Danio rerio: one gene and its partners. The protein of the gene in region 2 interacts with the protein of the main gene of each other region in a pairwise test. Links are inferred from orthologs where the notes say so. Each region holds a gene or a part of one and is shown on either strand. Other genes may lie near its edges. The genes, in order: unkl, bag4 and alg13.

Region 1 (3,660 bases), on a different chromosome or scaffold from region 2:
TCATTACTTCAACTTAAATGAAGTAAGTTCACAGTCCTTATAAAGACTTATATACTTATATTTAACCCAAATGGTTTGTAGCAACTTATTGTGTTTTACAGCACTCAGTTGGTTTGAGTTCTCTTCGTTCATTGGGTTTTACTGTGCTCAAATTGCTTCATTTACTCAAATGGATTACGTTCACAGTACTCATTGGGGTTAGATTTTTAACTTATTTGATTTGCTGCAATCGGTTTCCTCAAATGGTTTGAGTCACTTTAACTTTTTTGGGTCTTACAGTGTAGAATTTTTGTTCTGTTTTTCGTCCAAATATCTACATTTTCAAAGTGAAAACCAGATTATTTATCTTAATTGTTACTTATTTATTCTGATGGTGAAAACAAAACAATTATTACTTGCACTAATCATTGTTTAAAATTTCAAATGGAAACAAGTTTCTGTAAATGCATACTGTTAGATGACCAAGAAAACTGTCAACTAGAGCTATTCAAATTATCTTGTAAAACAGTATTCATATCACAATATTTATCACAGAAAAACAAACTATTGCACTAGCAGATTTTTTCAATATCGTGCAGCCCTAGTGTTTATCGCTTCATTTCATTTCCAAACAATAGAACTGGTTTTAATGTTTGAGAAAAAGAAATTTGGAAACTTTTTATTCATTGTGTCTGTTCATTTACATGAAAACAAAGTGTGTGCATAGTACGTATTTATGAAGATGCACACATCGTTTTAAAGTGCTGTTCTTTACAAATGTGTGAAGATGGTTCGTGCATAGTATTCCTAGGTGGCTTTAACCTTTAGTGCGCACCCAAGTATGTTGGACATTTCTCATATTTCTGCTTACAGAAATGGACTCATGTTCTTTTGAAAATGTTAATTACATTAGTGGGAAACAGCATCATACTGTGAGCCAAGTCATTCAATCAGAAAGCATAGAAAACTGTGTCAAAAAATATAGCGCCTTCTCTCTGATTAATTCTTCAAGACGTCTGTTTTATTTGAATCAATCTCATAGCCACACATGAATAAAACGGAATTACAGTGCTTCAGGTATTGGACTACAACCAGGGCTCAACAATAAGTACTGCCCTTATGACCAGGAACCCTGTGACTATTTGTCAATTTCGTGCATTTTAAGTTTGTTTTTATAAATCTTTAAATGCTACCTTTTCTGTGATGTCGTAAACACCATATTGCTTTTTGGTTTCTCTCATCTGATTTGATGTTTTAAGCATGCATTTTTTTTCTGTAACCTGGTAACAACCATTATAGTGAAGTGAAGGCAACATGGCGGCAACATCAAATTATGAGGATAAAAGAAATGACTGTTTCTAACGTCTTGGAAGCAGACATTACCGTGGATACAACACAACAAAAAAAATTAAGTGATGTTTTGCACAATTTGCCGTCAATATGATAAGTGATTTTGTTAATTAATTTCGAACTGCAATAAAATACCTGCATATTTTCCATACTGCTCTATTTGTTTGCATAACACATTCAAATTTTGCTCATTAAACATTTATTAACATTTTTTAAATAACTTAAATTCTAGATTCACATTTTCTAGATTATTAAATTCACAAATTCTAGATTATTTTTTGACAGATTATTTAAAATATGTGGCAAAAATAGCTATTAACTTCTCTCTTTTTTTTGGTGGAGCCAGTGAAAATATTGCCAGGGCAAGTACAAATCTGAATCATTGGCCCGATCGCACCAGTAGAAAAAATCCTTAGCACTGAACCCTGACAACACACCAAAATATTGAAACCGATCATCATTGTGAACATGCTTACTTTCCACATGTGCAAAAGCACAGAACGGGCCCCTTGGACAGTATCCGGTTTGCCTCATGTCATTGCATTTAGTTGACTTGTAAATCTTAAAAGAGAGAAGGAAGTTATTGAGATTAAAAAGAAGAAGTCAGTCATTGAAGGAGAGTGTTGTACAGGTGTGTGTGAGCCTGACCTCTGGGTGGAACTGCTGTTCGGTGCGAGAGTGGCAGTACTGGCAGCTGTCTCCACTCTCACATTTGGAGGGTTCGCCCCATTCATCTCCATGCTTCACACTCGGGCAGGGCGTCGATCTGCCATCACATTTAACAGTGAATAAGTTTTGGGTTTTAAAAACTGATAAATCAAAAACATTTGTAAACATTTTTTCCTCATTTAGCCAAAAACTAAAATAGAAAATACATTTTTGACAATTACATTTTGGTAAAAGAGCCCTTTATGCTGCTATGGGTGTCATACTGACGAATGATAATCAAGTTTCTTCAGCCTTAAAATATTCTAGTTACGCTATTTTACTTATCTTGTTGCCTATATATTTTTTGGTCACAATGAAAAATGATGCTACAGTTGCTATGTACTCTATCATGGAGTAAACCCAAAATATCCATGTTAGTACGTAAATAAGGCAGGAGATTTCAATCTTTTAGATGCTACAGAGCCCATCTATGTAGAATTATATAGCTTTTTAAATATAGAAGCTATTAACACTGTGAAAAAAATATTATTTAAACAATTATTTGAACATAATACCTTTATTATGTTAATTTAATGTTATTTCTAACATAATAACATTAAATGAATATTTGGTTCCATTAGATTGTTACGTTTGTTTTAGTTAAACAGACAGTTTAGAAAGAAAAAAGAAACTTGACTCACTATTAACTCAACCTCAAGTAGTTCCAAACCTTTCTTCTGTTGAACAAAAAGAAAAATTTTAAAAGAAAGCTAGAAAACTGTAACCGTTGACTGCCATAGTATTTGTTTTCCTATTATGAAAGTCAATGGTTACAGGTTTTCAGCTTTCTCCATAATATCTTCTTAAGTGTTCAACAGAAAAAAAGAAACTCGAAGGTTTGGATCCATTTGAGGGTGAGTAAATCATAAATTTTGGGGTGACCCTTTAACATAACACAATATTAACAAATTTTAACAATTTTCTTTTTTTTTTTTTTATTTGTGCAGAAAATTAAGCCACTGAAGAAAGTGCTGATTCAATAATGTCAGCATCCTTTAAAAAATTGTTGGTCAGTGAAAAAAGCATGCATATTTTAACAGAAAAAAAAACTGACATCAAATTATTCAAGTTTTTACAAATAATTCAATACAAAAGGTGCACATTACTGCATTACAATCAAATATAAGTACAGGAGCTACAAAAAGAGCAAATAATGTCAAGTAGTGTCACTTCCACCTCAAAATAGACCCTTTTCACATTTCCGAGTTTCTCAGCAGCGGAAGTCTTCATAGTTGGCAAAACTTAGAGCGCAGTGAATGGGAGAGTAGAGCAAGTCCTTTTTTTGCAATCTTATTTGCTTAAATAATAAAAGAAAAACTCTGTGATGATGTCATAAAGACTTTCAGAAAAAGGTAAAAAAAAATTGTGATGATGGCAGCCATAAGAAATAATAACGTCAAATTTACTGTCCAGTCCCATAGACGCTGCATTAGAAACGTCTCGCACAAGCGGTAATTAGTTTTTTGTCATTTGATGATATAGATGATATCATGCAAAGATGATATAATGCATATGTGAATACATATAAATGTTCATACGTTTTAAGAAAAAATCTAAATTTAAATTTTTTTAAGGATTTAACATGCTGATGACTGTAAATGCGTAATAACATGCTTGTGAAAA
Region 2 (2,845 bases):
CCTGTTCACATATGCCAATCGAACCGCGCTAACTGGGCAAACGAGATACGTTCCGAAACAAAAGTGTAGGTGTGAAAGCACCCTTAGACTTTGAAAAACCCTGGATTAAGGTGTACATGTCTGTACAGCACTTCAATAATGTGGCATACTCCACGTCTTTGATTTCTCTTTAGTTCAATTATGACCTTAGTCGGATTAAATTGATGTGGTGTCCATGTAAACATACTAAATGATAGTGGTTCAACATGTTTTGGAGGGCTGAATCTCGCTATATTTTAGATGTAAGTTGCAGGCTGAAGGAAGGAAGAGGGCGGGCCAAGAGTTTGAGACCCCTGGTCTAGGCTGTGAGTTTTGAAGACAGACCATGAGTTGTATGTAATCGCATAAGATTTTGTCACAATCCAATCATTTCAACAGATCTGCAATTCTACCTCACACATATTTCAGAAGTTTTTCATGCAGATACACGCGTTTATTTCAATGTGAGGGTTGTTTTGTTCAACTACTAAAAGTGGAGAATAGACGTTTCTTGCTGCCAATATGATCACACCTTTCATGAAAAAGTTGACTGAATGAAGTAAAATGATGAATATGTGAAACTGAATTATGAGTTATTAAAAAATGACTGTCTTTATTAAGTTATAAAGTTATTTTACAATAATATCAAGAATGGATTGGTGTAATAGCAGTAATAAACTAAATTTCAAAAGTAAAATGAGTGGAGTCTTCATTCTTGAAGATGTGCAACAAAAAAACTCTGTTGTATCCCTTTAGTCTATGTAGACTCAATAAACCGAAAGGTGTTACACAAGGAAACCTCCGAGTAGATCACTGCTTCTTGTTGTTGAATGGCAAATGTCTGGTTTCGAGTATGGCACTGCAGTGACTGTATTTTGTGCCTGTATTACTAGAAAAAAAACATTACCACCATTTGGGCTACACAATCCAAAAACAACAAAAAATGTAATCCAACAAACTGGCAAAATGTGAACATCCTAATCTGCAATCATGAGGAAAGACCATAAAAAAAGAAATCATCATCAATCCACCCTGTTATTAGAACGCCTTTTTCTCAAGACATTCCAAGATGGCCTGGATCCTCCGAACAGCCTCTTTGCGAGCCTGTCTAACAACGTCCTGCCCGTAGGTCTCCACAGAGTCCAACTCAAGCAGCTCTTTTGTCAACAGTTCCTCCAGGCATCGGTAGCTCTTGTCTGTCTTTTTTCCCACAAACTCATCCACATCCTCTTGAAGAAGCTGAACTCGGGCCAAAATCTGCTGAACTCGAGCCAGGCTGGAATTATCTTTTAGTGGAGCTGGCATGGACGACGCTGGAGGGGAAGACATAGGAGGTTGTTCATTTTGGGCAGGTTTGGGTTCGAGTCCTCCAACGCCAGAGGAAGTCTTGTAGATTTGAGGTGGACTGCTGAACTGGGTGGGTTTGGGTGGAAGCGCAGATGAGTTTGGTGTGCTCACACGTGGTCTGGAGCCTGCAGGCTGGTTTTTAGGTTGCATATGAGGCTGACTTTGATATGGTGGATCCTAAAGGGGAGAGAGTAATTTCATAAATAAATTTTAGACAAACACCCCATTTTTTCTATTTTATTTTGCCATTGTTAGTGGTTGTTATAGTTTTAAATTATATGTATATAATTATATAAATAACCATTTATAGTGTTATATGTGTTAGTATTGTTATAATATTGTTAGTGGTTTTGTAAAAAAAATTTAGTCAATCAATCAAAAATAAAAAATAAAAAAATGTAATTCATCAGCCTAAAAGTGGACAAAGAATGTCAATGTCCTTAAAAAACAAACATATTATATATTAATATTTTCCACTTTAACTTAAGATCACAATAATATTACCAAATATTCATTAGTTTCCTGAATTGTAACCCTTTAAATACTAGTTTGTTAATAAAGTCACATGTTTTTGTGAGAAAAAGACAATTATTAATTATTTTCCATTTACTACATGCAACAATTTTTTTTCTTAGTTAATTACATTTTTGGATGTGTCAGTGATAAACAACACAATTCATTATTTATTTCATAAAAAAAAAAAAAAAAAAAACACTACTCGGGTACATTTCCAAAAACTATTGTTAGCCAACCAAGGTCGAAAGATCCAACATTACAATAATAGTTCATTTATTTGTTGTTTCCCAAATCTATCATTCCAATGAACATTCACAAACTACATCACAAACATGTGCATTTGAATTACACATCTGGAGCTGTAGTTAAAAACATAGTCCCTGGTTGTACTCTATTGTCAGTTATCCACCCTATGCCCTATTCTCTCTTTGAATGTCCCAACATTTAAACTTGAAATGATTTCAGAAAGAAAAACAGTCACCTCCTACACCTACACTCTCCTGTAAATGTAATTATTTTAAGTAATTTTTACAGTTCAGTTTTAGCAATCTTTATATCAACAATGGACCCTTCGCTAAGCCCCGCCCTCCTTAGTTATTGTTGCTACGCCTGTCAAGCTTTTGTGCCTGGCACAGCTTTTTCAATGTGTGTGCGCCGGTTTCAGACATTGCCAGGTATATAATGTCATTTTTGTCGAATAGGTGAGATATCCGAGAAAGCCAGACAAAAAAAGACTGCAGTATGCATTACGGGTATATTCACCACATAATAAGCAACCGGTTAGAGAATAAATCAATCAAAATTGAAGCTAGCTTAGCCTAACCGCCTCATATGCTAACCATTCAACAGCTTAGCTCATGCTCAGCAGGAGAGGTGACATTTAAAAATAATCTAATAATGACAAATCAAACCGTAATTTCTCTATTTTTAGCCAAAGAGCCTGATAGATTAATTGTTGTTCAAT
Region 3 (4,417 bases), on a different chromosome or scaffold from region 2:
TTAGTCACAAGACGGATGTCAAAAAGTCCATTTTAGCCCTTCTCAAACTCAATTTTGACCAAACATATTACTATTGTGGTTTGTTCATGGACAGCAGCAGTGTTGGAGAAGATACTTTTCACTACCCGTAAATTTAACTACAAGCTACTAATACAGTAGCTGCTCTTTTGAAAAAAAAAAAAAAAAAAAAAACCAATCGCCGTTCACAGTTTCGTGGTCTGTAATATTTAAAGATGCAATTATTTTGATACAATAGATTTATATTTTTATAAGCAATTATTTTGGTTTTAAAAAATGTAATTTCTTTACAAAGTATTATATTCCATGTAATATAAATCATACAAGTTGTATAGGCTACTTCTGAAAATGTTTTGATCAAAAAAAAAAAAATTTTATAATATTAGGCAAATTGTCTAAGCTGCTGTTTTCTGTAAAATGAATGGTAAGTGAATAGGTACTGGAGCAGTCACAGTAAAATTGAAAATGAAAACTGAATAGTGCTAAAAAGACAAGTAAATGAGGGAAGACCTCTGAGAACGATCTTCTGGGGTATCATAACTTGCGTCTTCGCTGCACATAGAATGGCTGTTTCGGTATCGTCGTCCCCCTCCTTTGAATCCCTCCAGTGCTGCCTGTATTTCATCCTCCTCAACTCCCAGAACACGAGTGTACAACAGTTCATACAGCAAGGCTGAAAGAAATGAAAATACTAGTACTAAAATGTATCAATCAAATATAAAAAAATCAATAGCAAAATCTTTCTAGTTAGGAACTATTCAGAAAGTGATCACACAAGAGATATTATAACTGAGATATGATGAACTGCTAACTTACCCTGACATACTGCAGCATCTACTGGATAGCTCTTTGGGTAAACAATGTCATAGTGGCCATTGTTTGAGCAACACAGTAAAATCTGTTGGATTTAATGAATAATGATGAATGTAAAACCATACATAAGTTTAAAACAATAACGCATGCTATAGACAATTACCAGTAATCAAGTAATGTATAAGCAATAAATAGATAAATAAAATGCATGCGTGGCAGAACAGTAGCTCAGTGGTTAGCATAATCGCCTCACAGCAGGAAGGTCACTGGTTCGAGTCCCGGCAGGGTTAGTTGGCATTTCTGTGTAGTTTACATTTTCTCCCAGTGTTTGCGAGGGTTTTCTTCGGGTGCTCCGGATCCCCCACAGTCCAAAGACATGTGGTATAGGTGAATTGAATAAACTGTTTTGGCCATAGTGTATGTGTGTGAATGAGAGTGTATGGATGTTTCCCAGTGCTAGGATGCAGCTGAAAGGGCATTCGCTGTGTAAAACATATGCTGGCGGTTCATTCCGCTGTGGCGGATAAAGGTACTAAGCCGAAGGAAAATGAATGAATAAATAAATAAAATGTTAAAGCTTTGGCCACATTGTGTTATATTTGAAAAAGCATGCCAATAAAGCTGAATTGAATTGAAAGACCATGAGACCCCTAAAGAGTAATTTCAGTGACACTGAAACTGTAGTTTCAGCTTTTAGCCAGAATAGTGGGAATAAATGCAAAACTCTGAACGAAAACAGAGGGCGTTTTATAATTGCTTACCTTAGGCAAATTGTCTTCCTCTGCAATCTCAGTTGGTGGCTTACCTGGATACCTGTAAATGACAAAGCACCGCCTGCGCCGAAAACCAACCACATGAGAATGTGGACCCAAAATAACATTCTTTTAATGCAATTACATTTTAAATTTACATTTAAATAGCTCAGATGTATTGCAAAAAATAAAGCAAAAGTTAGAGAAGATAAAAAATTTACTTGTAGAATAAACTATTTTAGCAAAATGTGGGGAAGAGATGTAAACCATACCTGTACAGTAAAGACAGTGCCTTTATTATCACTTGACCTACGGTTTCCTATGAAATTTGAGATATTACACCACAGTAAGACCTTAACACTTAAGCCTTAAACACCTTTCGTAGAATTTACAAAAAATATTGTTTTAAAAACTGACTGTTTACATCTTTGATCATTGGCTTTTATTCTGGTTGTAATAAACATTTTAACCATTTACCAACAATAAGACATACTGTTAACATTTAAGTGAAAACAACAAGAAAATTCCCTGAATACAAACCTTGGGATCTTCCAAGCGTTCTAAATACTTCTCAAAAGATCCTTCAACAAACTGAAAAACACGGTAATACCACAGGGTTATGAGCGTTTACATACAGTTAAAAGTTTGTGCAGTCTCTAAAAAAAAATCAGTTTGAATGTACTTACAGGTTCAAAGTTGCATCTGTTCGCCCTTATGAAGTTGACACACTCCTTTCGTATTCTTTGATGGTAATTCTGAGAGTAATAAAGCTTAAAACAAATTTAAACGCCAGTTCAGTAGCACGGTCAAAACGATACAGGTGGTTCATTAAGATTGTCGTAAGTTACACGTTTCGTCAAACTCACAAAATTTGTCATACACCATTGTCAAGAAACTTCGGAATATGACACAACAATTTCGAGATTTGGTCACATTTTGAGGAATATTTATTTTCAAATTACCTGCTCAGAAACAGCTCGAAAAAGACAAGACGCATCTCTCGCCATCATTTTTCGGTATAGTCCAATGCTGGCCAGGTACTCGTCCATGCTTACAAAATACTTCTTCAAGGCTTTTTGCATCCTCAAGAAATGATAAATAAAAAACAACGCATATACAGAGCTTCACGGCTTTCCGTCTAAAAGCGAAAAAAACTGTGAAGGTCGAAAGTTTCCTTTCGGGCTTGAAAATGCAACAGGTGCAACAAATGACCTCTGATTGTACTGCATTGCTCTTTTGGCGCCACTTTATGCAGGAACATACAGGACATATTGCAGTTTCCATGACAACACTAGCTACTTAAGATGTTTAAGTTAGAGTTCCACGTATAGTGACACTTTAAAATTACTCTTATGGTTTGTAAGACGACTATTTGATTCTAACTCCCCATTGAGCCTTAAAGCTACAACCATTTAGAACACATGACTTAGAGACATATCTTCTAACATATTTAGCTCTTTGCTTAAAAAAACTAAAATCTATATATCTATCTATCTATCTATCTATCTATCTATCTATCTATCTATCTATCTATCTATCTATCTATCTATCTATCTATCTATCTATCTATCTATCTATCTATCTATCTATCTATCTATCTATCTGTCAGTCAATCTGTCTTTCTGTCTGTCTGTCTGTCTATTAAAGGTGTGGGTTTTCTGATGAATTTCCACTCTAGGATGGAGTAACACATATAATTTCCTATGTCTTTATGATTATTGATAAAGCTAAATGTTTCAGGGCCTAGATTAATATTACCATCCCCCTTGAGAGTAAAACAGGAATAATATGTGTGTGTTTGCTTTTTCATTTATTCATTCATTCATACATTCATTCATTCATTTTCGGCTTAGTCCCTTTATTAATCAGGGGTGTACGTGTAGCTTATTTGTTATACAAATAATCCCCCTGTGTCGTGTTTTCCTAAAAAATGGCTAGCAGTCACTGTTTTTTTTTTTACATCTTTTAAAATGGTTTCATGTTTTAGCCTAGAAGACGGTAATCAAAACAATGTAAGATTTTACATACATACTTTCACAGATCTTTTAAAAATAAAAAATATATTAAGTATAAAAGAAAACACTTTTATGCTGCAAAACTGCAAATTGGTTTTTCCTGCCAAACTTTTTCAATAATTGGCTGGAAGATGTCTGCCAATACTGTGGTGAAAACCTCGGAAGCATGCCATGGTTAACCATGAGCAAATAACTTAAGGAGTTGTTACATTGTATCCTGCACTCCCCTATAATTTCTTGTGTCTTTATGATAATGATTTATGATTATGATTAATAAAGTTGAATGTTTAAGGCTCTATATGATATTATGACCTTAGTTTGATCCCTCTTCAGAGTAAATCTTTAATAATATGTGTGTTTGCTTTTTCTGTATGCCAAATTATTCGCTTCCACAGGATCTACCAAGCCAGGTCAAAGGTCATGAAGACATGAAGACATCTTGAGTGGACTTGGGTTAATTGTTTTGTATGTAAGCTGCGAGTACACAAAACAGCCTTGAGTAAGAAACAGATTGCATTTGTCTCTTATAATAGATCTTCTATTCATTTGTGTATTTGTAATGCAGCTCTGTGGTCAGCTTTGAATAACCTACACTGTCTGACTTTTTTATGTGATGCAATCATCAGGTAATCATTGGAAGAAATTGTTTAGAATTCACACACACGCACACACACACACACACACACACACACACACACACACACACACACACACACACACACACACACACACACACACACACACACACACACACACACACACACACACACACACATAAACGCATACGCACTCGCACACACTTACACACACACTTGGAAA

The links.
Region 1: the proteins of bag4 (region 2) and unkl interact in binary tests that used the Homo sapiens proteins (3 or more experiments, as listed by UniProt). The link is inferred for Danio rerio from reciprocal best matches to the Homo sapiens genes BAG4 and UNKL.
Region 3: the proteins of bag4 (region 2) and alg13 interact in binary tests that used the Homo sapiens proteins (3 or more experiments, as listed by UniProt). The link is inferred for Danio rerio from reciprocal best matches to the Homo sapiens genes BAG4 and ALG13.

The regions. Positions count from the first base shown.
Region 1 is NC_133178.1:44,940,050-44,943,709, reverse strand, and holds part of unkl (putative E3 ubiquitin-protein ligase UNKL), read right to left. Parts: intron 2,096-3,660; coding exon 1,978-2,095; intron 1,891-1,977; coding exon 1,806-1,890; intron 1-1,805. UniProt on the Homo sapiens protein: May participate in a protein complex showing an E3 ligase activity regulated by RAC1. Ubiquitination is directed towards itself and possibly other substrates, such as SMARCD2/BAF60b. Intrinsic E3 ligase activity has not been proven.
Region 2 is NC_133183.1:54,288,776-54,291,620, forward strand, and holds the end of bag4 (BAG family molecular chaperone regulator 4), read right to left. Parts: intron 1,543-2,845; coding exon 1,057-1,542; 3' UTR 608-1,056; downstream 1-607. UniProt on the Homo sapiens protein: Inhibits the chaperone activity of HSP70/HSC70 by promoting substrate release. Prevents constitutive TNFRSF1A signaling. Negative regulator of PRKN translocation to damaged mitochondria.
Region 3 is NC_133196.1:37,973,802-37,978,218, forward strand, and holds the start of alg13 (putative bifunctional UDP-N-acetylglucosamine transferase and deubiquitinase ALG13), read right to left. Parts: upstream 2,806-4,417; 5' UTR 2,666-2,805; coding exon 2,546-2,665; intron 2,354-2,545; coding exon 2,270-2,353; intron 2,175-2,269; coding exon 2,124-2,174; intron 1,903-2,123; coding exon 1,856-1,902; intron 1,666-1,855; coding exon 1,593-1,665; intron 917-1,592; coding exon 835-916; intron 692-834; coding exon 529-691; intron 1-528. UniProt on the Homo sapiens protein: Catalytic subunit of the UDP-N-acetylglucosamine transferase complex that operates in the biosynthetic pathway of dolichol-linked oligosaccharides, the glycan precursors employed in protein asparagine (N)-glycosylation.